4 linked regions of the Oreochromis niloticus genome follow. The protein of the gene in region 3 purifies or fractionates together with the protein of the main gene of each other region. This does not show direct contact. Links are inferred from orthologs where the notes say so. Each region holds a gene or a part of one and is shown on either strand. Other genes may lie near its edges. The genes, in order: mrps34, psme3ip1, psme3 and psma4.

Region 1 (6,219 bases), on a different chromosome or scaffold from region 3:
TGCTATACATCAATACAACCGTTATAGCCCAAATTTTAATAATATGTATGCATTAAGTGCATAGTAATTACATAAATTGCAAAAAAGTGCAATAAACTACAAAAAAATTGAAAATCATTATTGTTTTTTTTTTACATACATTTCCAGTTAGAGAAATTTAAGAGGCTTATACCTCAAAACTGTAAATACAAAAAAGTTGCACAAAATAGTTTCCAACCACGATAAATTTATTTTGAGTGTCTCCATAGTTTTATTTTTGAGATACACTAATTTGTATATATTACAGGAAAAATGAAAATAAATATTATAATGCAAATTTGCAAAAAACCAGCATGTGAATCAAAATAAACTATTTCCAACAGTGTAATTTGACTTCTAAGCATCCCAGAAACGATACAGAAAAGCATAAAGTCAAACATGACTTTTAAAAACACCAACATAGGCTTTGAAGGTAAAAAACTACATTTTGCGCGAAAATGACGTAACTTCCGGTTTCGGACAGGTAATGGCGGACATGCGATAGTTCGCGCTGACTTATATTCCAAGTAGGAAGTGTTATGAACAGCTGATCCGATCGGCAAAGCGTGCTTCTGGAATATTATGTTTTTGTTGCTGCAAGTCTGGAATATTATGTTTTTGTTGCTGGAAGTGCTTTTTATGCAATTTTTGCAAAGCTATATGTGGAAGGAAACCGTGACCTAGGGCGAGCTAATGGAATAAGATGTAAGTACAACTCCTACGGTTTCATATGCAAAAACAATTATTGCGCTACCTTACGTGGTTCCAGTTCTACAGGGATTTAAAAATAGTTAGGCAAAACGGAGTGTGCCTGCTCCGACCGGTTGTAAAGGGTTAATGATATATTTTATGTAATAATTTATAAAATTAGGGTTAGAAACGATAGAAGACAAATGACACGACAGACACTTTTCTATCGTCCACACGATATATATCGTCATATCGCCCAGCACTAGTTTGTTCAGCTTTTTTTCTTTCTCAAAAGTCTTTCTCAAAGCAGCTTTTCTGGCCCCGAATTCAGTTCAAGCTCTGTGTTGTAAATCCTCTCTAGTGCAGTGGATGAGCAGAAAATAGTAAATATGAAATTGTGTACAGAAAGATATCCATCCTCCTGCTGTGTAATCCGCTCCCACACTATGTGTTTAGTATGAATACGGTTCATTTTGTCCAAATATGGTTTTATATGGCTAAAGGTGTCATCATTGTGACAGACTCGGTGTTGCTACTGCTACAATGACCATTGAGACTGAGACCATGCACAGTCAGGTCGAGGAGTCTGTGAAAAGGATTGTTTTGCCTCTGTTCACCACCACAGTGGATCTGAAGTGAAGCAGTCAAGCTGTGACTAAAGTGTAGACCTATCAAGAGGCCTAACATCCTTTTTTCTCTCATTCTCAATGGCTTAAAAGTAACACGGATGGGCCTGAGATGTCCTCGCGTACATCTTATTTTCCACTCAGGCAGTGGACGGAGGCAACATCACCTAAACTGCATCACTGCCCAAAAACCTGAGCCATATTTTGATTGATTCAACGATTATTGGGACATTATACCTTTTAGAAAATGTTATGTTTCAATAATCTCCTGGGACCATGGTAAAAAAAAGATGGACATAGCTACCGTGATGACACCAAGAATTTCTGCTGTTGCCGTCTTGGCATTTTGGTATCCAGTGCAATGAGAAGGAGGCGGAGTTGACTATTAAACCGCATGCTCATTGGCTACCAGTGAGCATGTCCTGGATAATCCTCCTTTCCGACATATGCAGTGCTTAACAAATTTACCAGACCACCAGTCATAAAAAAAGTCAACCTTAATATTCAACCACTAAAACTAAATAACTGTAATTTGGCATATTTTTTTTCAGATTTTTAAAAAATAAAACAGTGAATATTTTTAAAAAATCAAATCATTAGGATTTTGGTAATTCTGAGTACTGATAATTTAGGGCAGCTGTGGCGTAAACCTTTCACTGGGCAGTGATTTGAGAAATTTGCTAAGCACTGTGGAAGGAGTCAAATTTACAAAATAGATTTAATGCTCTTTAGAACATTAAATCTATTGCAGCACAGCGATTACAGATCTTCCAGCAGGGGGGGCATTTCCCCAGAGATTACTATGGGACCAGAAGTCTTTTAGGAACCACAGGTATCGCCCCCTGGTGGCTTCTGTTTTCAGACCTGAGACACTTAGTCCATCTTTTATACTGTTGATGGCTGGGACGTACCATAAAAGTGTAAACATGCATGCTGCAGCCATGTTTTGCAGCCTGCCCTAATATATACAAACACTTTTTGTATATAAATGTTTTTCAGTACAGAGAAGCTCAGAGTACTTGATGGGTATTTGAGTATTTGAGTGTTCATGAATGACAGCCTGGGGTACGGTGAGACATGTGGGGCAGATATGTAAATAGATTCTCTGTAGTCGCAAACCATAATAATGAAACATTAGTGTTTTGCCCAGAGGTCAGACACCCGTTTCTGATGTCCTCAAAGTTCTTGGTTTCAGTACACTGATACAAATACCTAAGGTACTATGCAACACAAGCATTCTCTGAGGCAGTGGGTGAGGTTAGGGAGTCATTATGGAGCAGCAGGGATAGTACCAGAGGACCATGCTCATCACTCACGAGCCACAGATCATCTAGTTGAGTAAAATCTTTCAGCTGCCTCGTCCCCCATATAGAATAATGTAACCACCGGGAAGTTAATTGTGGTCCAGCAGATGAATTTGTCTTCACATCGATGCATCAAAGCACTTTTTTCTTACTGTTTTACTGTAAATTCTAAGTGTTTCTTCTATACTGTGTCATATTATTAATACTGTATGTGAGGGCCTTCACTTGCCTTTCTCTGTATCAGCATGATTTTCAGCTGAAAATAAAATGAATGCTAAATATGCAGCATGGGCTCCATTTGTTCATTTAGTAGCAACAAATTCGTTTTTTGCTGGTCAACTGGGCGCTTGTTAAAGAGGTCGGGTTTTTGTTGTGAATGTTTCTGCAGCTGACAGTGACTCATTGCTGTTTGTGTCTCATTTCTCACAGCACACTCATCTTCCCCATCCTCCTGTGTGTACTTTAGGTGCTTTAGTAATGAAGATAAATCCTTTGTTTACTGTCTGGTGTTAATCTGCACTCACAGACACTTTGTTAGGTACACCTTAGTGGTCCTGAGTTGGGCCCCCTTTTGCCCTTTAGAACTACTTAGTTCATTGTGGCGTAGATTCAACATTTAACATCCTAAAGGTGCACTGTGGTGACTGGAGAAATCTCAGCAGATGAGCATTTTCTGAAATGCTCAAAGCTGCCCCTCTGACACCAAGAACCAAAGTTCAAAGTCACTTAAATCACCTTTCTTGATGCTCACTTTAAACTTGAGCAGGTCTTCTAGACTCTGTCTACATGCCTAAATGCATTTGGGTTGCTGGCATGTGTTTGGCTGACTAGATATTGTTGAACAGGTTTAACAGGTGTACCTAACAAAGTGGCTGTTGAGTGTGTAACAATCCAGGTTTTCATAGATGTCTGACTTCACAGGCAGTCAGACAAAATTCTTAATAAAATATAAATTAAATTTTCTTCTGTTTGGAATCATCAACACAGCAATCCAGAAAGAAAGAATATTGATTATTAAATGCATATTAAAGAAAGCTTAACAATTAATATTACATATTGTTGAAAAGAAGTTTCTTTTCTTTTGGGGGGTTTCATTTTGAAAATGACTCACAAAAAATGTTTTCACCTGTCATTCATTTCAGCTGCCTGTAAGTTTCCTTTGCATTTGGTTTAAGGAAAAGGACATACAGCAAGCAAAATAGGACTAACTAAGACAGACGGGCTAGTGGCTCTTGTGGTCCTCCATAGAGGGTTAATACACGGTAAATTATTGAGATAAGAAGGAAGGAATATCGATATTTACAACAAATAAATTAATACATAAAGTTACTGAAATTGAACGGATTGTTTGGAAACTGACGACAAGAGGAACCGTAAACCCACTGCATCTTAAAAACACATTAATTGGTGGTTTTGCATTTAAAATACTTTGTATTTACTGTGTTCGTGTGTGATTGCCTGGCATACGTTTTACTGGCTAATCTAAGCTCTCTTATGAAATGATAATTTTCATTTCTTAATTTTTTAAAATTGTTTTTTATGAAGACGGAACTTCTCCTTACACGGAACAAAAGCACGCTGGCTGTTCCCACGGAGCATTTTATGCCCGGACCAAGTGAGCGTCGGAAGCTCTGCACCTTGCTTGCGGAGGTCAAGTAGCAGCAGTTCTCTTTCTGGGGAGTTTTCAGGTATTTAATGTAGACATTTAATGATTTTAAACACTTTCGATAGTAGCTCACTGCTATGGGTCGGAACAAATGTTTGGGACGACTAATAACTGGTGTTATTTAGCACGGAGCACCGGCTAACAGGATGCTTCCCATTTGATTGCAGTTTTATCTCGTTTCTCTAACACCTCAAAGACATAATTCAAGATCAGATATGACAAGATTTCTTTTTATTTTCATTTCTTTTCCAGGATAATCGCTGACCCGTGTCCATCGGAGCTGTGAGGAAGACACTGCAGTCATGGTGAAGAAGAAGAGACTTCGCCTCATCGCGGAAATGGCTCGGAAGATCAGGGCGTACAGGGAGCTCAAGTCCCGGCCCCGGGAGTCCCAGAAGTACGCCTTGGACTACGAGACAATGAAGCGGCCCTTCACGGGGAAGATGCTACCGGTATTAGCATGGCAGGATGTCCGCAGGGAGAGCCGCCTCTTCTCCCTGCTGGCCGGGATGAGGCTGTTCGGAGTGGGCCGACTCTTCACCCGCAAATCCTGGCTGGAGGACCACTCCGAGCCCAGCTACTGGCAGATCACCAAGGTCAAGGTGGACTACACATCCGAGGTGAGAGCATGGAGCCTGCACACTGTTATGCTAGATAAAAGTGAGAGTCTTGTATCTAAAGAAATGGAAACTATTCTTTGTGTTTTGTAGAACATGGATCATGGCAAAGCGTGGGGCATCCTCACTTATAAAGGTAAGATTAGTTTGATCTGTTATTAATAATAATAGCACTGTTTATGGTCATTGTAGCCTGTGTTGTCTTATTTGTTGTTACTGTAACAGTCATTTTTAATCAGTATTTTATGAATATCTGTGTTGCCTGAAATGTGTTATTTGGTAAATATTCTCCAAACAAACTATCATTTGCAGGGAAAAAGGAGAGCGAGGTCAAAGAGGTGGACAAGGTGATGTACCATGACTGGCGCCTGATTCCCAAAGACACGGAGCAGCAGTTTAAGGACTTTGAGCCTCTGCCCGAGCCGCCCGTCCGATACGTCGCCTACCCTCCCCTGCTTCGCGCAATGCTGCTGGCGCAACAGAAGAAAGTAGGAAGCAGCAGAACGGCAGAGGAGCCCATCCTGCCTTTAAAGAGGGATGTTCTACTTAACAAAGACTATTTTCACACGCAGGAACAAGAGCGACAGAGGAAAGAGGGGACCGCGGTGTAATGGTTTCACTTGAATGTTCACTAATCCTGGATATTTTTGGACTAGATCATTGTTGACAAATACTTCTCTATATCTGGCTGAATCTTCCACTCAGATTACTTCTTTGTGGGTCTGATGTAGGCCCTTGTGCGTGTGTGTTATTGTTGTATGCTGAATATTAAATTTGAGATGAAATGTAGCCCCTTTTAAGTTATTTCTGTTTTTTATGTGCACATCACATCACAGTGCACAGCAAACTTGTAACTTTGACTTGGATATATTCTGGTTAAGATCTGAGAACTTTAAAAAAAAAAAAAAAAAAAAAAAAAAAAAGCCTTATCAGAGTATAAAGTAAACAGTAGCCTTTAGTCATTTTCTTGTATAATAATACAATTAAAATGACTCAAGGGGACATTTGCATTATGTTGCAGTTCATCCAGTGTTTTTCAACATTTGACCCCAAAGCTGCATATGCTACCAAGCTAACCTACATAGTCACTTCACAAATTATGTTAAACATGGAGTCACTGGTGGTTTTTAGTATACTGCTGCCATTCTGCTGGTTTATAGCATTTCCTGTGATTTGTGTTTTAATAAGGCAAACCTTTGCCAGGATTTTAAAAGTACATTTTAATGAAAAGGATCCTAATCCAGTGTAGAGTGTCGTACCACTGGTCAGATTCAGACCTATAAATAATAAATGAAGGC
Region 2 (7,029 bases), on a different chromosome or scaffold from region 3:
TAGCGTCATCTGCGGAAGCACTGAAAACAAAAATCTAACATCACTTGCAAAAATGTTGAATATGGAATTATTAATGAACGAACTGAAGAGAGCTTTTCCAAATAAGCTCTACATAAAAACTGGGGGACAGTTGTCTGATACTCGAAGCAGGAGATTACATTTCAATGTTTCCCTTAATATAATCATTGCTTCCAAGTTCTGAAGACATTTTTGAAATCTTGAATTTCATCAGAATTAAAAGCACCAAATTATGGGAGTAAGTACTTCCATTATTGTGTTGGGAGACGAATCTCAATTCCCAACCTGACATACAGTTGTGTGAAAGAGTGTTCCTGAATTTCCTTGGATCACAGCGTGATGTCTGGCTTTTAAGGATCTTTTGATCTACTTTAATCACTTTTTCCACACAGGTCCACATAGGTTTGGATTTTTGCCCCCTTAATAATAAACACCTTCATTCAAAAACTGCATTTTGTGTTTACTTGTGTTATCTTTGTCTAATATTTCAATTTGTTTAATGATCTGAAACATTTAAGAGTGACAAACATACAAGAAAATCAGGAAGGGGCGCAAAGTTTCACACCATTCTAACTCTGATCAACTCTTCAAGATTAAATCTACAGACTTTACAAGGTTTCCTCAAGAACCAAAGACATTTTTAAGACTTGAATTCATAAGTGGACCTTAATGATGTCTAAAAATGGTGGCTTGTGCTGTAAAAAGCTTAAGTTACATTTGCTATGAAGCTGTTCAAAAACAACCTTTAGAGACTGAATATTAAAGTGTACTGACACATACTGCTGATAATACATTATCTCTTACAATCACAGAATTACAGAAGAAAAGTGTTCATTCAAACCCTGATGAAAAGTGGAGTAAGGCACAAAACACCCACAAAGACCTACTGAATTTAAACTGCTCCTCATATTCTTCTTGTTTCTTGTCTTTCTGTTCCTGCAGCCGCTCAAAGAGGGAGCGTGGGTCATACTCCTCCTCTGGGACCTCTGAGAAGTACAAAGGACAAATATAAAGGGGTTACATGCACAGTGGGACATCCTTTAGAGGTTTGGTAAAGTTGTGGATATGTGTTCTTACCCTCTGGGTCGTCAGGTTTTCTGATTTTCTCCCATTCCTCCTGTCTCTTTTTCCTCCTCTCATCAAGCTCCGCTTCAGACACAAACTTCCTGCTGAGGTCGACACCTGCTCCTTCTGCTTCTGCCATTACAACTGCGCAACATAAAACACAGAAATTAGCAGATTCTTATATAGCACTTTTCTACTCTGAGCACTCAAAGTGCTTTCTGTGCAACATTCACACTCCAATGGACGCATTGGAGAGCAACTCTCGGTTAGTGTCTTGCCCTAGGATTTTGGCATGCAGACTGGAGCAGTCGGGGATCGAACCACCAACCTTCAGATTAGACGACCTGCTCTACAGCCACACACAAGCTCTGAATACCATTCTAAAATGTGTTGTCCCATCTCCGCACCGGACACAGACCATTTACAAGTGACTGCTCGATCAATACCTGTGGGTTTTCCTCAAAGAACACAGAAGATTAATTGATTCTTGACATATCTCAGCAAAAAATAAGTCTATTCCATTAAAATAAGCAAAACCCTTAAAAGACTTTGCTGCTGACTACTGCCTTTTTTACTGCATCTCTGCATTAAAAAAAGAAAACAAAAACAACTACTACTTGTTCCATCTGTGCCCTTTAGGGGTCGCCACATCAGATCATATGCCTCCCACTCATCCTATCCTTTGCAACCTCTTCTGTCACACTAACCCTGTGAATGTTGTCCTTCACGAAATCCATGAATCTTCTCTGTGCCCTTCCTCTTTTCCTCCAGCCTGGCAGTTCTATCATCAACATCTGTTGAATATATGCAATATCCCTCCTCTGCATATGTAAAAACCATCCAGGTCTTGTTTGCCCAGCTAACTTAGTCTCCAAACCGTTCAGCCTGATCGATCCCTCAGATATACTCATTTCTAATCCTGTCCTGATCACTCCCAGTAAAAATCTTAACATCTTCAACTCTGCCACATTCAGCACTGCCTCCTCCTGTGTTTTTGTTGTAATCATCTCCAAACCACGTATCATAACAGGTCTCACGATAGTTTATTTTGCCACGTTTCCTGACAAATCAATTTACTGGCTTGCAAAATATTTTGTTGACTTTAAAAATAAGGCACAAAAGATGAAAATGGCCATCACGTGACAGCTTTCATTGGTTGGCATTGCAGCAGATGGCATTAAGCCTGTTATTTTTTATCGGTTCATCACATACAAAGCGATAACAAGCGCAACAGCTGGACAACCACAACACCACTGCACAATATTTCGACTAAGCTGTGCCGATCTGCGTGATTTCTGGCTTTTATTTAGCCCTCTGATGAATATGAAGATTGAAGCCATTTTAAACTTTAACTGATGTGAAATAAGATGACGAGTGAATTAAATGAGAGATCTGCTTAACTGACCGAAGCTTTTAGTTTATAATGGGCCCTGATGATCCACTCACCGTTACACAGAACAGCGAGAACAACGGCGGCTGCTACACAGAGTTAGTCCCTTAAAGCTGTGGACACACAAAGATTAAGGGAAACACTCACACACCTGACCTCTTGCCTATATAGCAGAGCAGCAAACTCTGAACTCGCAGATGCCTTGTGCGTTGCAAACCCGCGGCTAACGTTAGCTTCGTTAGCGTTAAAAATATTCTTTAAGAGCAACAGAACATCATGTCAAGTCTGAAAAGAAACATTTTCAGATGCACGACCAAGCAGTCTTTAGTTTAGGACTGTCTCGTATCAAGATTAAAGACCGGTATGTGGATAAACCTTACCAAGATCCAGGCTTGTCGCTAGATTAGCGCTCCAGTTTAATGATCTTTGTGTCACGCTGAAGACGGCTCGTCGCGAAATTCGGCGTTCGAATTAAGTTCCGACTCGCTTTTTTTGTTGTTAAACGCACGCGGCTCTGTTTTCAATATATGTTAATTGATGATTTTTATTAAATTTTTTTTAACAGAAAACGAAGGCCTACCGAATATTGCCAATGACCTAGATTTATTAGTAGACACAGTTGTTGTCGATTATTAATTATATCTACATCATGTGCTTCTTTTCCTTAATTATACGCACCCTTAATTATACGCACCATTTGTAGTTCAATTTTCCAGAAAAAACAAACAAACCCAAACCTAAAATAAATAGAGGTCGAAACAAAAAATATGCAAAAAAGAGGAAATGTACATGAAAATAAGAAAAGACTAAAACTTTTCAAATAAATTACGTTTGCAGATAAAACCGTGAATATATAGTACACAGTTGTATATATTCGACCTTCTCTGTAAGTTTGCCTTCTCAAATTACCTAATAAATATAAGTAAACCCATAAAAATAAGATTGTAAGCAGTTACCAAATTGATCACAAGATGGCGCCTAAAATCCATTAATGAAGTCCAAAGGTATCCCTGGAGGACTGTTCAGCTACATTTTAAGGGTAAATGGTAATTTATTTTAATCGTTCGTCTTGTTCACGATGACCTCTTGAAATCCCCTTTCAATTTAAGTGACAGATTTCACATGATGGAATGTGTACGTTTAGCAAGCGGCGCCCACAGGCCACAGCCTCCTGTGTTGCTAAAACAAAGTCCAGTTTAAAGAAAAAACGATCCTCCACTCACTTAATTCTTTCCCTCTGTAAACACTTTCTTGGCTAGTTTAAAGTTATGGCTGATAGTTTCAAGTGTTGCTGGACACATGTAGGAAACATGTAGTTCCCATTTTTGTCCAGAAGCATGTTATGCTTTAGGGTGTATGGGATTGGCAAGTTGCTATCACATGACTGTACATTACCATGAAGTAACCTTCAGTTTCACAGTCAGATCCAACCCGTTCTTGTGACATCTGCTTTCAAAAAACAAAAACGATGATAAGTGTAACACGAGGTTTGCAGCTTCTTAAACATGACTTCAAAAGCCAGTGGATGACATCACGGTGGCTTTGTGCAACTTTTACAAGCCAGACAGTGGCCTCACATCATGCAAACACAATTTTTCAATCATAACTTACTTTTAGAATCAGTTTTCTAGTTTGAAAATCTGTTCTGGTTTAATAGTCCAACCTCTGACAGCCTAACCTGCTGCAGTAAGTGTTTGCCCGTCCCTGAGCCTGGTTTTCCTAGAAGTTTGTTGCTTTTAAAAGGAAGTTCTTCCTTCCCGCCGTTATCAAGTGCTTGCCCAGGGGGGTCATGTGATTGTTGGAGTTTTATCTCTAATAATGTAGGGCATTTACTTTAGGATAAGCTCCTTAAGGCGACTGATGTTGTGAATTGGTGCTATATAAATAAAACCGAAAGAAAGAAAAGAAACCATTCCAATGGTTTTATTCAGTGAAGGTTACATTATATCGAAGTTATAAATGATTCCTCATTTAATGATGCACTACGACCAAAATAGTAACTATTGATGATTGCTAAGCTGAAAAACTGAAATTACAAGACAATAGTTTTTGTCCCAGTCCAATGAAAGTACATTTCATTGGACATGGCCTCAGCCATAGTGTCTCTAAAATAACTGTTGTTTGTTCAAAACGCATGCACATAACTGAAACCCAAATGTTCTCGTGGGTTGATTAGTCAGTCTGATGTGCTGCTTTTACCAATCAGCTGGGGAGTGAGCCTTTCAGTGCCTGTTATGCATGCTTCCACAAATGCAGCGAAGTTATTATTTATTTATATTATCAACATGTTGTCAGGTCCTGTGATAAAATGTATTGCACCATGGAGGTTAATGCTAAAAGCTCAGTCATATTTTAAAGGAACAGTTCACCACTTATGGGTGATGGGATTTGTATCAGTTTTGATGTTTTGACTGCAACGATAAGGCAGCAGCTGGTAAACGTATCCAAGCAGGGAAAAAAAGTTTTGTACAGGCTAAATAAAAGTAGTGCTGCCCAATTATTTGTATTTTAATCACAATCACGAATTTGGCCTCCCACTATTTAACGAGCATCGCTCCGACTGTTAAAACTCAAAACAACAGCTAATCAGACGCTCCCTAAAGCACCACGTGTGTACATGTACCGATCACCGCTGTTCCCTGCAGCACGCAGCTTCAGGTTTCTTAGATGCCGTCTGGACACAAATATACAACGAAATTTAAATGCCACCACAGAAAGTCACTGCAGAGGATGAAGAGCTTGCCCCTCAAAACGGATTAACATCTAAATTACAGAAAGTAATAAAGAAGAAATCAAATGCAACGACTGCAGCACAAAGCAACACAATATATTCAAACTGCACAAATTACAGCATAATTAATACATGAATGCGAAGAAAAACAATGCAATGCTAACGTGAATCATCCAGCATCAACTCAGGCGTCCATAATAGCGAGCCCGTGGGCTACAGCGCGCGTCTGTGTATCCGTCACATCACAAAGACTCACTGAAATCACCAATGCAATTGCATTTCATTTGGTGTCCAGTGAGCACGGCGAGTAACGAATCTTTTGAGATAATGGTCAGCCTGATAGACAACAGATATGTTATCATTCCACCAATGTGGTAATACCTGTGTGTATTTTCCCAGCTGGAGTGAAAGACTTTATGTTATTTATCTGCCACTTTTAATTTATAAAACTTATTGAAAGATTTGTACAGATGTAAAAGTAAAATTCTGTTTACACGACAGTAGAATTGGCATCAGATCAATATTGATATTAATACTTGCATGCATAATAATTTGTAGGCTTTAAAAAATCCAGTAGTTCTAAATACATTAAAAGGAGTTAAAGGAAAAAGGAGAACATCTGACCCCTGCAGTGGGGGCATGTGGTGGTCCTGTTATGCTGTGGTTTGGATCCACTTGTGTTCTTATTGGGAGGGGTCACTGCAGGTCAATACACAGCTGTAGGGAGTGATCACCTTTACCCTAAGATGAAACATTTATATCTTGTTGAGAGTGGTTTGATGAGTATCCAAATGATGTGAATCACACGGTGTGGTCTTGATAGTCACCTGAATCCAACCCAACAAAATATCTGTATTTTGAAGTCTCTCCACGGCCATCACCTGGTGAAAGAATATGTGTTGGATGATTGTTGCTTATCTCTCCAGTAGAGTTCCAGAGAATGCCAAATTCCAGTGAAGCCACCAACACCAATATGACACTTTCTGTTGTTTTCTTTTATTCATCCCCCATCTGCATCTGTGAATAATTTCATTTTTTATTTGACATAAACAAATAACAGAATACAAACTTGACTCTGATCCCTTAGATTTGCAGAGACAACGAGATAGCCACACTGTTTCCCATCCACATCCAGGGCCAATCAGTTACTGATCAGCCTGACTTTCATGGAACCCACAAAAAAAAATACAAACACACTCACTGGGAGAACATGCAGACTCCAAACAGAAAGGCCCCGGCTGACCAGAAGCAACAGTGCCAATCTCTGCATCATGCCCTTGTTGGCTGTCTGTTTTTGTACAAGTGTTAGACATTAGTTTAGATTTATAACTCAAGAGCCAGATCCTATGCCACCAGAGCTCGGTGGTGTGCGTACACCTGAAATAGCTTCAGAAATGTTTACTTTCCCGATGTGGCTGGTCTCTGAGCATTTCAGCCTCTCTGTCACCCTCTGTCTTTGGAGACACACATGTTTCTAACCGAAAGGTTCTCTGCAGATGAAGAAGAGGATGGGTTGTCGTGGAAACTGAATCATAGGCTGGTAGCTACGGTGACAATTGCATACAGTCATTTGCTGCTGTGAACACAAAGTGCACACAGTAACACAGGTGCAGACCTAAACTAATGCTGTGGAAAATCAGGAAGATTCTATAGTTCGCATATACATAATGGCCAACTGTGTGTCCACTGCTCAACCTTTGTGCACCTCTGTCTCCATGTTCCTCTGTCTCTGCATCGCGACCCTATTTCACGTCTCTTGAGCTCTGTCCATCTCCTGTTCTTGTTTTAGTCTCTTTATCTATGTCACCCTCTCTCCCTCGCTCTG
Region 3 (7,956 bases):
ATGCCAAATGGCCAAAATAACATTACTTAGATAAGATAAGAGACTTTAGAGCTCTTACTTACTGTGTTACATTTTTCTATGAGTGTCCTGATCTCGGGCTTGACCTTTTCAATAAGATCAACAAGGTTCGCATTGCTCTTCATCATCCCATCAGGCATGGCGAAGACCTTGGTGCCAGTCACTGATAAAGGAGTAAAAGTTAAAAATACATAAAATACAGACTAAATATTCAGCCAGCGAAACTGTACTTACCCATGTCAACCCCACTTCCATCCTCCATCTTCCTCTTTTTGGCATTTTGCTGTGAGAGAGATGCAACAGTTACAAACAATTTCTCATCCTTACCTTACCAACAGTTACTGTAACAATACGAAATCTAACTCTAAAATGGATCCTCACCGCTTCTAGCCCATCGTGGAGATTTGAGAACAAGATGGGATCTGGCACTGGCAGATTTATGTCTGAGTGAATTTCCTTCAGTTCAGTGATGTTTATGCTTGGATCCTGAAAAAAACAAAGACAAGATTAGTTGTCAAATGCCAAAATATACAGACATGATAAGAAGAAAGCACATCTGCTGCCAAATCTAATCTATTTCACATGTCAGGACATCAAAAAATCTGATCTAGCAGGTTTGAAAAATGGCTGAATACAAACACAGATGAAAAACATATGACTTATGTAGTGACATATGAAGTCTTGGACACTACTATGTCATTACGTAGTCAACAATAACCAAGCCAAAGGACAGAAGCAGTGTGAGGAAAAACTAAGAACACACCATGATTCAATAGCTTGCAGAACCACCTTTAGCAGCAACAACCTGAATAGTTTTCTGTATGATATCAGTCTCTCACAGGAGGAATTTTGGCCCACTCTTTATATGCTACTTCACTTTATTAAGGTTTGCAGGTGTTTACTAATACACAGTCTCATAAATCCCTGTCACAGTATTTAAACCCAGCTGGAGTCTGGACCTTTCTGGAAAACAGCAAAACACCTTACTCTCTCTTTTTCACTCAATCTGTTGAAGATCATTGTCTTTTGTGACCCAACTTTAGCTGTTAAACAGATGGCCTCACATTTGAATCTACTTTAGGACAGAGAGGAGTTCATGGTCGACTCTGTGACTGGAAGGTGGCCAGGTCCTGTGGCTGAAGAGCCTTCTCCCAGCAAATCTTACAAACAAGCCACACTAGTCCAGTCTTTAATTGTGCTGTCATGCACTTTAACATTCTAACTGAGGCCTGTAAAGTCAGAGATATAACTCTTACAAAAATTACCTCTGAACATTGTACAGTTTGACCTTGGGGGTGAGTTAACTGGAGCATCCACACCTGTGATTACTAACACCCATTTCAATGTTTTCCTCTTGTGAACAACCTCCCTCACTGAAAAATGATGGACTTCAAATTTTTTGCTTTTATAGAGATGTTTATGCTTGCTGATGACCAGTTCGTCAAGTGAATTTGTTTAACAGCACCTGGCTGTTACTATTTTAATTCTGGACAATTGATAAAGACTGACTAACAGATAATGAACTTTAAAGCCAAATAATACATGGGAAGGAATGAGTTTCAACTATCCACAAAGATCTAAAATTATGCCAACTTGATTTAGCTGAATGTACAATTAACTGACCTTGAGGAAATGGTCAAGTTCCAGTAACTTCTTTGGGAAAAAATTGGCGACTAGATCCTCTGCCTGGAAGAAATGTGCATTGTTAGTGGAGTCTTGGACATCACAGTCATAATAGGTGTGTATGAAACTGTGCTCACCAAATATACACATTTAGCTATACATATATAGAAACATCTATATCTGTGAGTTTCCACACTACCTACAAATCAGAAGGTTGGTAGACTGATTCCCCGTTCCTCCAGTCCATGTGTGAATGTATCCTTTGCCAAGATACTAACCCCAGTTGTCCCCAATCCATCAACTGGGGTGTGTGAGTGGGTGAGTGTGTGTGAATGTCAGATAAACAGTGCTCAAGTACAGATAAAAATGCTGTTTGAATGTATGTGTATGTATGTGTGTGAGCAAGAGCGCGATTGGGTGAATGAGGCTTAATAGAAAGTGCTTTGAGTGCTCAAATAGAACAAAAGGTGTTACACCAGTACCACACTGGTTTTTCGCACTTTAGTAAGTTAGATTTAATTTACTCATAGCTGGACGCAGGCTTCCATTAAATAAAGAAGCAGACTCTACGCCTTAATTACAGGCCCCTAAAGGCTAGCTATGAGCCAGGATAAACTCCTGCATGTATATATTTTAATTTACAACGTAAGACAGAGACTTACTTCTGCGGTGATACGTTCCTTGAAAGCAGCGACCTGTAAACACAAACAGATGTACGAGAGTTTGAATACCAAGTTAACAAAAAACACTTTAAGACAGTAAACTTTATTTTGGTCCAGTTTTAAACACATGACCGGTTCCTCAGTGTGAGAGACAACCTCTAGCATTGGTAACTCAACGCCGGTGTGAACGGCAGCTGGCTGAGTTAGCTAACTTGGTAGCTCAGGCCTTCGTCAGTGCATGTGGTCGTAGTAGCAGCAACCATTTTCCCAGCACAGGGGGCTGTAAATCAAACTTTATCTATATCCCCGTTACGTTTAGCGCCACCCTGACACCACACCTGGGGGAAGGTTTGACAGGTGTACTGCAGTGGGCGGGAAACAAGAAACCGGTTAGCCGGTAGCTGCTGTTAGCCTGGCCTTATCCGAGCTCTCACATCATGCTACTAAATGTGGCTAACATGCTAGCAAAGAACATGGCAACAACAACACGCAGTATAAACTCAACTGGAATTCACAAAAGGCCAAACCTCACCTTGGTTTTAATTTCACTATCCAGCTTGAGGAGTGAAGACATCTTATGTAGTCGAATATGAGCAGAACGATTGTCCCAACAGCATTAAATTCACCTGTAAACGTGTGGCTTATCACTTGTCTGCCACACTTCGTGAGCTTAAAGATGACGACAATAAACATGCGACGGAGGCGGTGTTGCAACTGCGCTTGCGCGCAACGTCACCGTCTTTTTCTAGACGCAGCTGACGATGTAAACAAGAGAAAACATCCGAGGGCAGCGGGGCTCACACAGGCCGGGTTTCACGCAAATGATAGCCATTAAGCACCGATAGACGGCGGACATGGGGCTCCCTGTTACTATTAAAGTCAATTTCCGGGGGAACGTGAAGAGGTTTCTGGCTCAGGATATGGATAAATTGGAGTGGGAAGCTGTTGAAGTCTGGGTAAGCAGCTAGCAGAGTCTTGGCTAAACGCTGGCGCAGTTTAGTGAAAAAGTAGGCCTAGACGTTTTGGCCTAGACACATAAACAGAGCTCCCAAAGGATAGTCGATCTTGTTACGACAATAACAATAATGTATTTGTAAATAATATTTTTTTAAGCCAGCCGGAGCTTTACAAAATATAGGCACACAAGTGAGGATGTCCTCAGTTTGATTTAAGGTTACTACATATGTATAATACAGTATCCAGCTGTGGAGGTCTTTCTCACTGACTCAGTCATGGTTCATGTTTTTCCTAACACGTGTGAGGAGAAAAACTGAACTGCTCTCAATTGTTCTGCGTTACTTTTCAGATCAAAGCATCATTTGGGATCAACCACTTTCAAGTGAAATACTTTGATGAAGACAATGAAGAGGTAAGGGATTGTGTACATTGTAGATTTTCAGTGGTTATGTTTTGGCAGAATCCCAAGTTCAGTTTTTAATTTTGATCTCATTTACCTTACATTTCAGATTTGCATAAACAGTCAAGGTGAGGACAATATTTAATTGCTTGTTTTCTATATAATTTATGTTGAATATGTTTAGGTTTAGGTCTTCCTTCAAAGGTAAATCACCAGGACTTTGTTAAAAATATATGTAGCCAGCATTTGTTTAAAGCTTGGTTTAATATACTCAAAATTAAAATACATGTTTGTTTATCAGGTGGCTGAAAAATAACATGAAAAGGCACAAACCTCTGTTAACTAAGATAACAAAGACTCTTTTCCCTAACTACATCCTAACCCATTATGCTTACATACATAGTCACCCCCTAATGACCTGTTTGATCCAGGAAAGCTGTCCAACTGATAGATTCCTAACCTGATATGGACCTATGACAGATAATATTGGCATTCATAACATGTATTGTAGAAATTATGTCAAGTCCTGTCTTCAGAGAATTTGCTTTGAATTTTGCTAAATACAGTGGACTTACCAACAGCTAAACTTATGCTGAACCATTGAAAAGCCATGCAAAACATGTGGTCCAGAATTAACACAAAGGTGTTAAACAGAGACAAAACGTAAAACAGCAAGGGCCTAGAAGACAACAGTGGGGTGTCAAGATCAAAGACATTTAAATGCACAGGTAAAACAAATGGGTAATTCAATTGTAGGCTCAAAAACTCCATGGGGTAGGCAACTGCCTTTTGGTTACGGGGATTGTGATCAACATCCTTTTCTGCATTAATTATAAAAAATGTGTTTCGAGCAAACCGGTTTTGTAAGCATTGTGTTGAATATTCACAGCTTGGCCTGCAGGACATGTAGCATGATATGCATAACAGTAAACAATGATGTGTGAAGTCAAGCTGTGTCTTTCAAGTTGTTAACTGGTCTTTAAAATACATTGCTAGAAAGTTATTACATTTGGAACCTAAACTTTTTGACCCTTACTCCTGGTGTACCCGTACATGAAAATATCAAAATACCAGGAAAAAATACAGATTTGAGCCACAAAATGTGAAGTTATTTATTGTTTGTTTGTTTTTCCCCCCACAGATGAATATGAAGAAGCCATCAAGGTACTGTAGCAGTGCTGGGTTTAAACAGAAAGGACAGAGTGATAGCTTTTGTTACTGTAGAGCAGTGATTCTCAAACTTTTCAAAAAGAGTACCACCTCATAAAATATATGGCTCTTAAAGTACCACCCTTATGACCGACATTAAAGTACAGTGGTATAGGGTTACTTAACACCATATACAGTTTACACGAGACAATTTTATTTATTATATGAATGTTATTTATTTTAACTGTCATGAACAGGATGTGACAAGTGATAATAATAACAACTGTACTGCATTAAAACATTCACAGCAGGTGGGATATCCAATCTTTAATGATGACGTGATGAATCCTGCTTCTGGGTCTAAACTACTCTGCGTTTATTAAGGCTGTTGTGTTTTTGTTGTGTATCTTGTTCTATTTAATCTGAACAAGCCCCTAAAAATGGCATTGATCACTGTCAGCCTCTCTCGGTTATTATCACCCCTGTTCATTTTAAAGCTCAGTTTTTAAAACCTTACCATGTAACTACAGCCCAGGCCATGCAGCGGTATATAGGGCTGGGCTATATCATACTGTTCACGGTAATACCGGTGTAATTTTGGGCAACGATAGGAAAATGAAATATCGCAATAGAATATGGGTAAAACGCGCATGCGCAGTGCCTATGTTTACATACGCACATGGCGGCGACGCAGAATGAGAAGAGCGAAAGTGGATCTTTAAATGAAACGGATGAACCAGAACTGGTTTGTAAAAATGCTGCAACTTCAGTGGTGTGGAACTGGTTTAGCTTTCGTCAGTCAGATACACAACAAAGCACTATTTTTGGTAGCGCATGCTAGTGGGCCGTCGTTATTACCATGTTGTTTGGAAAATACGGCACACTTAAAATCAATCCTTTGATTTTTCTGAAAATCGACAGTGTCCCTTATAATCCCGTGTGCCTTATGTATGAATTCTGGTTGTGTTTACTGACCTCGAAACGATTTTATGTACATGGCGCTCGAAAATCTGTCAAATGTTTTAGTACGACTTTGCTAAGCTACGAACCCGCACCGGTTGATGGATTGTCGGAGCATTACGGCTATCGTAGGCAGAAGCCTCGCGGAGTGATACGTACTGTGCTTCAACATAATATTACCATATTGTGTGTGTATAACCTCTTTTTAAGTTTTGTGGATATTATACATGGTTTTGCTGAGGATATGTCGGCCGATTTCCACTGGAAATGCCTTTTGGTTAAACTGTCAGCAAGGAATTTGCACTGTTACATTTTTATATAACTTTAATGCACATAAAAAAATAGCTGCTTGTTTAAGTGAAAATACATTGATGGTGTTTTTTGCACTAATAAAGTTGTGGAGTTGTAAAGTATTTTGTCTAGTGTCAATTATATCGTCAGTTATATCGTTATCGCAAATTTTCAAATGTATATCGTGATAAATATTTTTGGTCATATCGCCCTGCTCTACAGCAGTATATTAATGGCTAACCTCATATTGTGGATGGATTATCTCAGTTGTTCTCCTGACTGAAGTTTGGTCCGTTTACAGCATCCTGCCGATTGCATTTGTCCCTAACCATCGGGAACCCTCACGTTAACTTTTATTGAGTGGAAAAAAGTTAGCATTCATCCTCCAGCTTCACTGTGTTTATATTATGCTAACATAGACGTATTGCTAGCCAGCACGTAGCACATTATTATATACCAGCTAGCCCAACTTCAGTAACCCTACAAACGTCACTCCTGTTTAGTTTTCTGTCTTCATTTATGTTGGAAGTGACAGCAGAGCTGTTTGAATTTTTCTGAAATCTCTCAGTCAGAACATGGCATATTATTTAATCGTAAAAAAAAAGGAGACTTCACATGTACCACTAGAGGGAGCCCACGTACCACCAGTGGTATGCGTACCACAGTTTGAGAACCACTGCTATAGAATATATCCTTACATAGAGAACCTGCACCGTAAAACTACACTTAAGACATAAACAACACAACTGTGTCCTTAATTAGACTACCAAAGCTATAGAAGAACAAACAGTGAAAATAAGAGAATATATGTGCAGTATATGTACTATGCATCTGTACACACATCACGTTGCTACTGTGTGTTCTCATGTCACTTGACTGTGGTTTGCATTCTGTGCTAATTCTCCATGCAGAGTGCAGAGAAGCAGGGAAACCAGTTGCACATGAATGTGTACAAGATGAAAGGACAGGCCTGTGGGGGCCCACTGAAGACCGAGGTGAAGGAGCTGAAAGGAGACCTTCGACCCGCTCCTCCTTACCCCTCAAGGGTTAAAACAGTGGACAAAGGCACGCAGGTCACCCCTGAGCGAGAAGCTGTAAGTAATTCTACTCTTCCCCCCCAACTTTCTTCTCCCTATAGATTCTCACATGTGCAGTGCCTTTGAAATCATTTTAATAAAGTCAGTGCCTCGAATCAGTTAAGTTTTTTTTACCTGTTGGGGAAAAAGTTTGTGCTTATTTATTAAAAGCTAAAATCTCTGATTTTGTCAATTAACTGAAGAATGGTGTATTTTCATGCAGGTAGCAGTAAAAGATAACAAGGGGAACAAACCAGATGATGAGCCCCCTCCTATGTGGTTTAGATCATACATGGAGAAGGTAAAATTTAACTGCTGCTGTGAAGCAGTATTTTTACATGGAACGTTTTATTTTTTAATTGGCGATTAAATAAAATACTGTGCTTTCCTTCTGTTTTTCATAGTTTAAGGATGAGGTGGTAAAGGAGGTAGTGGAAAGAATGTGCAGCGACTTTTCTGTCCAGTGTTGTACCCACAAATCCCCTGAAGGTCCCCCTGAGGCAATTGGGGCTATTGGCGGTATTATGGGACCCAAACCAGGCCCCTCCACCTCGAATGGATCCCTTGGCTACACCCCAAACTGCAGCAGCTGCAACAAACTCACCTCTGAAGGAGCCTACAAATGCAGGTATGCATGAAATTAACTCTAGTCATCACAACAATGTTTTTAACGATTTTTACATGTTTGTTGTTTTTTAAGTAGCTGTGTAAATGTTTACATTAATGTTTTTGTTATTTTGCCTGCCAGCGTGTGCCCGTCCTGCATCCTGTGTGAGATGTGCAGACATAGCCATGACCCTAGCCACAACCTCGTGAGAAC
Region 4 (7,618 bases), on a different chromosome or scaffold from region 3:
AAAAAATCTCACTAATTGACTAGTCTCGAATACAAAACACACTGAGAAAACACTGAAAACTGCACACACGTTAATGGACGTAGATAAATATTTGGTGTATTTTAGTAGCTAGAAGAAACTGTTAATCGCGTTTCTTGTTAATCAAATCATGTTTTAAATGTTGCTGTTATGTGTGTCACTTTGTATCATGGATGTATAACACTGCAAAAACACAAAGTGTCAGATTAATTTGAAGAATCTTGCTAAGCTTAGCAGTGCTAGCAGCAACAGCAACATGCTAGCCTCCACACCTTGCTGTGGATTGTGGTTACACCTGGCTTTGGTTACTGTTTCCATACACAGCTGACATACACCTGCTAATTCTTTTTGAAATCAAAGTACTGCAGAACCACACGGGTTAGCATGGCTGTCCTCTCTTTACTCCCACCTCTTTCTCATTCACAACTTCCCTTCATAGACAGACAGGTCTGTCTATGAGGGTGGTGTAGCTGTCTGTCAGAGGCTGTAGCCCTGCTTAGCAGCTGTTGGCACAGTAATGACTTTGAACCGGCAACTACAGTTGTACAATAATAAAATAAGAATATTATGTTTAACCGGCAGCATGGTGGCATGGTGGTTAGCATTGCTGCCGCACAGCAAGAAGGTCCTGAGTTCAACTCCACCATTAAACTGGGGTCTTTCTGTATGGAGTCTGCATGTTCTCCCCATGTTTACGTGGGTTCTCGCCGGGTAATCCGGCTTCCTCCAACAGTCCAAAGACATGCACTTAGTGGGGATAGGTTAATTGATTAATCTAAATTGCCCATCGTTGTGAATGTGAGTGCGAATGGTTGTCTGTTTTTGTGTGTTAGCCCTGCGACAGACTGGCGACCTGTCCAGGGTGTACCCCGCCTCTTGCCCTATGACAGCTGGGATAGGCTCCAGCGACCCTGAAAAGGATAAGCGGATGGCTGGATGTTTAACTAACTAGTGTTTCTGGTGTTAAAGAGCAAGGGCAGCAGTGTTTAAATGTCTAGTTGACTAGTCAAGCACATCCCCATTTAAAACACTTTAAATGTAAGGACTGACAATAAGTAGAGGAGATTTGCCGTGGTGAGCAATGTAAAAGGCTGTGAGGATTAAAACAGACAGTGCATCTTACCTCCAAACTGTGTGTAAGCTTGCTTAATGTCACACAGAGCTGTGACCAGCTGCTCACAGGGTATTGGCTCTTGGTACTGCAATAAATACCTAAGAAGAATTCAAACTGGTTAGTGGTTGGTGTAAATGAGAGAAATGGTTAGAAACTACAGACACATGTTTAAGGCTGTAATCTCAAATTTCAGATCACCAACTATTTAACACATTTTGTAATAACATAACTCAAGTAATAAGACTCATTTTGAAAGTGCACCAGTCTACACATATTTAGCTTTTTCTTTATTTGTGGGTATGAAAACAACTGCTGGTGGTGGTGGTTACATCAGCCTGCATTCACCATCATCCCTTTGTTTCTAATTACAGCCATAAAATTGTCTCCTTCTGAAACTCACCTCTGTGCAATTAGCCGCAGCTCATTTGTCAGTACATTAGCATCTGATGTGATCCCAGCAACGCTGCAGGCCATGTCTCTGAAAATGTGACCACAAACGCAATGTTAACCAAAAACAAAATAATTGAATACATTTTAAAGGTAAGAATCTAGTGAAGCTCACTTACTCATTGAGTTTGTAGATCTTCTCAGAGAAGAAAACCTCATCGAGCAGTTTGTGGATGTTGCGTCTCTCTGCTGCCAACAGCACCCCGTCATTTGCTAGGATACCCAGACACGTTCCAGCGTGACCGATTGCTTCCATTGCGTACTCCACCTGATACAGGCGTCCTGTAAATTACAAAAATTTGGGTTTTTAAATGAACAATACTAAAAAAAACCCCTTTAAGACCAGTTTTTGGAAAACGGTGGCTATATAAAATACTAAAGAAAAATACTTTTACAGCAGTTTCACTATGGATTAGAGCTCACAGGTAGCCCCTGAAGTAAAATACTAAACTCAAATTATTCATATGTTGACCCAGAGTGTTTATTTCTAGGGCGTTGAACTAGGCTCATTAATCCACATGTTCCTGCTTTAAGTACTAGTCATGAGTTGGTGTATTTTGATAGTTTGTATTTGGTTTGAAGTTCATAGAGGGATTAAAATAACAAAAACTCATGAGATTGTAATACAATGTAATAATAGAGTGATAGTATTTGGCCTCTTGTGTTGGATTATTTTGACCAGTATTTGGTTACAAAGTCTTAGATAAGAAATAAAACATACCCTCTGGAGAAAATATGGTTGTCCGGGAATCATATCTGCGAGACTAAACAACAACAACACAAAATTAATGCCTATACTAGTTGAAAAAAACTAACAAACAACATTTTGAGATTTTTAAAAAGTATAACAGCTACGTACCATTTTCTCAAGTCGCTGGCAATATCCTGAAAAAGTAAAAAGAGCAGCAGTTACAGACAGGCGTAAGCTGCAGAAGACAAGACCCAAAAACGATGCCTTTTTAAAATCGACACAAGACGTATCTGAATTCAGAGATAAAGAAAGTCAACATATATTTTGCTAAAGTTAGAAACCAAAATAGGTGCTAAAAGTTTCTGAAGCTGGTTTATAAAAACAACGCGTGCTTTAATAAGCCCTTGGCAGCTAGTCGGCTAACTGGTGCAGCAGAATGAATCTGCAATATCTCAGCATGTTAGCTAGCATGCTAACGAGCTAGTTCATAACAAACGAAGTCGCCAAGCTGCTCCACGACAAAAGGAAGTAAAGATGTAAAATTATGCTAAAATAACAAGTGCTGCAGTGACTATATAGTAATTGTGTATTATTTACCTCTGGTGAACGAGTCTAACTTGGCGTACTTTTGCCCAGGATGAGAGGTCCACTACTTTCAGTTTGGCGTTTCCTCACAAACACCGGCGTACCGCGTCAGTGAAGTAGCCGCTCAGCAGCGCCACCTCTCAGTGGGAGGACCGATCAGTCTGTAACACAGTGCACAGCTCACTGACTGCTGGTTAGTGATGTACTTGAACACCTCCTAATGGCACTTTTAAAAATGACAACTTTACCGAAGCAAAAGTACATCCTCCTTCTTCCATCTGCTCCCTCTAGGGGTAGACACAGCGGATAAACTGCCTCCTCTGTCACACCAACCCTTTGCATGTCCTCCTGTGAGGTATTTCTCTGTTTCCTGCCTGGCAGCTCTATTTTTAACATTCCTAGTCCAATACACCCACTGTCACTCCTCTGCACATATCCAGGCCATCTCAGCCTTGCCTGTCTAACTTTTCCCCAAACTGCTCAACCTGAGCTAACCGTCTGTTGTACTCATTTCTAATCCTGTCCATTCTGGTCACTCCCAGTGAAAAGCTTCAACTCTGCTACCTCCATCTCTTTTTGTCAGCACCACTGTTTCACAGGTCTCAGTACAATCTTGTAAACATTCCCTTTCACTTTTGCTGCCATGTTTTTGTCACAAATAACCCTTGCACTGTCTTGTGGAGAAGCAAAAATATCAAATGACTTCTGAGCCATGGCACATGACACAGTTAAGAGTCATAAGGTCATTAGGTATGTTTTTACATGTTGTGGGTCATTGTTGTCATTGAGTTGAACTACTATTCTGTTTTCAGTTATACTCAGTAAGCTGTTAGTCTTTCTTTCTTTCTTTCTTTCTTTAGATTGTAAATATTTGCTTTTATTAATTTGGTAAAATCAATGGAACACCAAGATTATAATATCATTGGGAACATATTTTATACCATGAATGATCAATAAATTAAACCAAGTCGCGTTCACTATGATAAACGCTACTTAAACTAATATCAGAAACTGGGCCCTGATAAAGTATATATTCAAAACAGAAGTCTGGTAAATTACCTTTTCTTGCCTCTTGAACTTGCTGAAATACATTTACTACTCCAGCCCTGGTGGTGCGCGACAGTAACGAGACAGCTGAAATATCCGGAAGCCTAATGTAAAAGAAAGCGAAGAAGACACGTTGCATGTGATTGGGTGTTTGAACAGCATGGCGTTTGAATGGGAGCAGGAAGATCTCAGAGAGTTAGCCTACTAGCTGGGAAGTTAGCCAACTCCGTGTTTTCTTGTCTTGCACCCACGCTAGCTTTAGTTACACATTCCCAGTCATTTGTTGACGCGATGTTTCATGTTCGACTTACACTAAGCAGATGACTCTGAAATAAACATATGTCCGAATAGGTAAGTAGTCACTAAGCTAGTTAACGTTCAACCAATGCTAACATCGTTTACCCCGGGGCTAGCGCGGCTTAAGCTAAAATATGTTAGCTAACAACGCTAAACCAGCAGGTGGCAACTGGCACGTTTTGTGAAGCTTTTGGCTTGCTCAGTGTGTTAGTTGCTATATTAGGTTTACGTGTTGTTTTCAGATGAAACACTGGCGCTCCAGTTGACTCCACGTTGACTCCGGAACGTGGTGTCCTCTGACACCGGGGTCAGCTACATTCTGCTATAATGTGTGTGTGTGTATATATATATATAATCAGACATTTGTAAGAGCATGGCAGTACAGTTTTTGCTTAAGACACTTATTTCTTTAGAAACAGCCTTTTAGCTTTGATTTGCTAGTTTCAGCATGACCCTTGAACTCAGTCGTAGATAACTGGATATAAGTTAAACATTACTGCTCAAGGAGAAGTAACAACCAGTTTTGTATTAAAGGTATTTCGTCATATATTTTGGTAATATTAGGAATGGCAAAAATGGTACAAGATCACCTAAATTAGAGATGTTGGTATTGCATCCGGGAGGATTTTCATGAAGTTTCTGCACTTGCCCTTCAACTCCAGAATACAGTGTCTAATAGAGTTTCAGAACACAAAATGTTTGCCAGTTTTTCATTTTGAATATAAAAAACAAGCGCAGTTTCTTTTAGCTGCCACTTTAAAGACTGTTCTGTTTTCTTTCTTTTTCTTCTGTGTGTTAGACAAGAATCCGTCTGATGAGGGGGCACCTACAGCTGTCAGGATGCAGCAGAAAAGGAACATCCAGATCATCGAATGGGAGGACCTCGACAAAAAGAAGTTCTACTCCTTTGGGTTGTTCATGACTATGACAATCCGGGCCACAGTCTACCCGGCCACTTTGATCCGGACTCGACTGCAAGTGCAGAAGGGCAAGTCACTCTATGGCGGCACCTTCGATGCCTTCTTCAAGATCCTGCGGGTGGAGGGCGTACGAGGCCTGTATCGTGGCTTCATGGTCAACACCTTCACCCTCATCTCAGGCCAAGCATACATAACCACCTATGAGCTGGTGAGGAAGTACGTTTCGCAGTATTCAGAGGACAACACCGTCAAGTCACTGGTGGCGGGGGGCTCGGCCTCCCTGGTCGCTCAGAGCATCACTGTTCCCATAGATGTCATATCTCAGCAGCTGATGATGCAGGGCCAAGGGCAGCACCTCACACGCTTTCGGCTTTACTCAAACACTGAGACTGGAAAGCCAAAGAAAGTGTTTGGCCAAACCAGGAACATTATTGCTCAGATTTTTGCTGCTGATGGGTTCAGGGGTTTCTACAGGGGATATGTGGCTTCTTTACTCACCTATATCCCGAACAGTGCTGTGTGGTGGCCTTTCTATCACTTTTATGCTGGTAAGTGGAAGCTATAGCGCAGTTTCTTAACTTTGAGGCTGTAAGTCTGTCTTATCTTTTGTGTTTTCATTGTTTTAGTAAATTTGTAGTGTGAATGAATGCTTCGTGGCGTCAACATGTGATTAATAACATATCTGCATGTGTAATGTTCTGCAGAGCAACTCTCTAAACTGGCTCCCAGCGACTGTCCTCATCTGATCTTACAAGCCATGGCTGGACCACTAGCTGCTGCTACTGCCTCCACTGTCACCAATCCAATGGATGTGGTCAGAGCCCGAGTCCAGGTAAGCTATTATATTTCTCATCAAATACAAATGTTGGAAGTATAGACTGTATATAAAGGAAAACTGCTTCCTGTCGAATGGCCAACAGGTGGTGGCACCTTTGGTTGCAAAAAGAAGTCTGTGTGAAAATGACCCTTCCTATTCTTTATCACCAGCAGGATTGCCTGCGCTTCCAGCTTTGCATATCTATTTTTAAATGCTGGTAGAAATGCAATCAAATGAGTTAGAGCATTATTTTTTTGCATATAAAACTCCAGGAGTTGCGCTTACATATTGCGCCTTCACTATGTCCCAGACAGCTGTTTTCCTTCTGCTAATGTCAATCATAGGGATGGGTATCGTTTAGGTTTTATCCGATACCGGTGCCGGTACCGGTACTTTTGAAACGGTGCCGGTGCTTAAACGGTGCTCAAACCGGTGCTCAAACCGGTGCTTAAAGAATGGAGAACACAAAATTGGTCCAAAAACCTCTCATGTTCAGCTGTTTTTTTGTAAAAAGATAACAATGTTAGCCTTTTCTGCAGCTATAGGGCATATATGGTCTCACTCTTGGCTGGAAGCAGTGCTTAATCAATGGAAAAAACACAAACTTTGTCCAAAAACCTCTCATGTTTAACTGTTTTCCACTTTTTCTTTGGTCATTTTAGCCTTTTTGGCCAGGGTGAAGGGAGTATCTGCCATCAAACAAGAAGACAGCCGCATGTAACTACGACGGTGTTTGCTAGTTCACCTTACATGCATTAATTTAATAACGTGTTAGCGTACTCAACGTAAATTACACACGAACAACATTAAGCTACTCACCCAGAGAAGAACGGCTGCTGCTGCCATCATCATCCGTCATCATTTCTGCTACACTGACAGGGCTAGGGGCCAGGACTCTCCTCTTCGGGTTCTTGGGGGATGTTGCTAACTCCGGGTCCGATAACAGGCACCACACCCGCAGTAGATGTGCACGGTGTGAGGTCTCGCAGCAAGCAATCAAATACGGCGCATTTCTCGGCTTTTAAAAAAACGCTATGCGTCGCCAGGTGTTTCATCGGATTCAAGGAGTTACCTCATTTGCACAGTATCACAGTATCAGCTTAAAGCACTTGTTGCAGGCTGCTGGGTTTGCATCTTTTGCTGTGAAGTACAGCCAGACTTTTGACCGCTTCGCCTTGGGCATTTTTAATCTGTAGCTCTGCTCTAAAAGAACGTACGTACCTGGGCCCGCCTACTATCTTTGGAAAGGTAAAATATTGGCTAAAATCCAAAGTGTATCACAGCTCAGGAAAAAAAAGCACCGAAATAAAGCACCGAAATGTGCGCTGCTTTTCAGTCTGGTTACTACCGTTTATGTCAGAACCGAAACCGGTACCCATCCCTACTTGTGTTATTAAAAAGTCATGTTTGACTTTTGTGCCTTAGAGGTTTGAATGCACTTTTGGAAATGGTCTATGTTGATGTGCATGCATACTTTTTGCATATTGGCCACAATATGCATTTATTTTCATTTTTGCTGCAAATTATAGCAAGAATACCTCAAAAATGAAGTTATAAATGAACAAATAAATAAATGAATGAATGAATAAAATGTGTGATTTGAAAGGATTTTATGCAAGTTCTTTTCATTTACAATTTTGAGGGATACATTATGACTTTTCTGTATCTGGAGAATAATGTGT

Evidence for each region.
Region 1: the proteins of psme3 (region 3) and mrps34 purify together in Homo sapiens (co-immunoprecipitation; 3 studies listed by BioGRID and IntAct, counting the BioPlex papers as one, with this or other methods). This does not show direct contact. The link is inferred for Oreochromis niloticus from reciprocal best matches to the Homo sapiens genes PSME3 and MRPS34.
Region 2: the proteins of psme3 (region 3) and psme3ip1 purify together in Homo sapiens (affinity purification with mass spectrometry; 4 studies listed by BioGRID and IntAct, counting the BioPlex papers as one, with this or other methods). This does not show direct contact. The link is inferred for Oreochromis niloticus from reciprocal best matches to the Homo sapiens genes PSME3 and PSME3IP1.
Region 4: the proteins of psme3 (region 3) and psma4 fractionate together in Homo sapiens (co-fractionation; 3 studies listed by BioGRID, with this or other methods). This does not show direct contact. The link is inferred for Oreochromis niloticus from reciprocal best matches to the Homo sapiens genes PSME3 and PSMA4.

The regions. Positions count from the first base shown.
Region 1 is NC_031969.2:14,051,532-14,057,750, forward strand, and holds mrps34 (small ribosomal subunit protein mS34), read left to right. Parts: upstream 1-4,170; 5' UTR 4,171-4,326; intron 4,327-4,556; 5' UTR 4,557-4,606; coding exon 4,607-4,924; intron 4,925-5,014; coding exon 5,015-5,057; intron 5,058-5,233; coding exon 5,234-5,532; 3' UTR 5,533-5,710; downstream 5,711-6,219. UniProt on the Homo sapiens protein: Required for mitochondrial translation, plays a role in maintaining the stability of the small ribosomal subunit and the 12S rRNA that are required for mitoribosome formation.
Region 2 is NC_031972.2:7,609,669-7,616,697, reverse strand, and holds the start of psme3ip1 (PSME3-interacting protein), read right to left. Parts: upstream 3,005-7,029; 5' UTR 2,854-3,004; intron 2,587-2,853; exon of another isoform or gene 2,530-2,586; intron 1,228-2,529; 5' UTR 1,223-1,227; coding exon 1,096-1,222; intron 1,005-1,095; coding exon 906-1,004; intron 1-905. UniProt on the Homo sapiens protein: Promotes the association of the proteasome activator complex subunit PSME3 with the 20S proteasome and regulates its activity.
Region 3 is NC_031973.2:6,504,251-6,512,206, reverse strand, and holds the start of psme3 (proteasome activator complex subunit 3), read right to left. Parts: upstream 3,008-7,956; 5' UTR 2,878-3,007; coding exon 2,836-2,877; intron 2,337-2,835; coding exon 2,304-2,336; intron 1,705-2,303; coding exon 1,642-1,704; intron 505-1,641; coding exon 400-504; intron 302-399; coding exon 253-301; intron 182-252; coding exon 63-181; intron 1-62. Other genes in the region: nbr1a (NBR1 autophagy cargo receptor a), read left to right, coding at 3,158-3,259, 3,610-3,672, 3,770-3,788, 4,802-4,824, 6,972-7,154, 7,360-7,437, 7,541-7,764, 7,885-7,956. UniProt on the Homo sapiens protein: Subunit of the 11S REG-gamma (also called PA28-gamma) proteasome regulator, a doughnut-shaped homoheptamer which associates with the proteasome. 11S REG-gamma activates the trypsin-like catalytic subunit of the proteasome but inhibits the chymotrypsin-like and postglutamyl-preferring (PGPH) subunits.
Region 4 is NC_031965.2:10,700,028-10,707,645, reverse strand, and holds the start of psma4 (proteasome subunit alpha type-4), read right to left. Parts: upstream 3,017-7,618; 5' UTR 2,868-3,016; intron 2,465-2,867; 5' UTR 2,442-2,464; coding exon 2,439-2,441; intron 2,344-2,438; coding exon 2,301-2,343; intron 1,862-2,300; coding exon 1,699-1,861; intron 1,611-1,698; coding exon 1,533-1,610; intron 1,231-1,532; coding exon 1,142-1,230; intron 1-1,141. Other genes in the region: slc25a44b (solute carrier family 25 member 44b), read left to right, coding at 5,040-5,667, 5,824-5,951. UniProt on the Homo sapiens protein: Component of the 20S core proteasome complex involved in the proteolytic degradation of most intracellular proteins. This complex plays numerous essential roles within the cell by associating with different regulatory particles.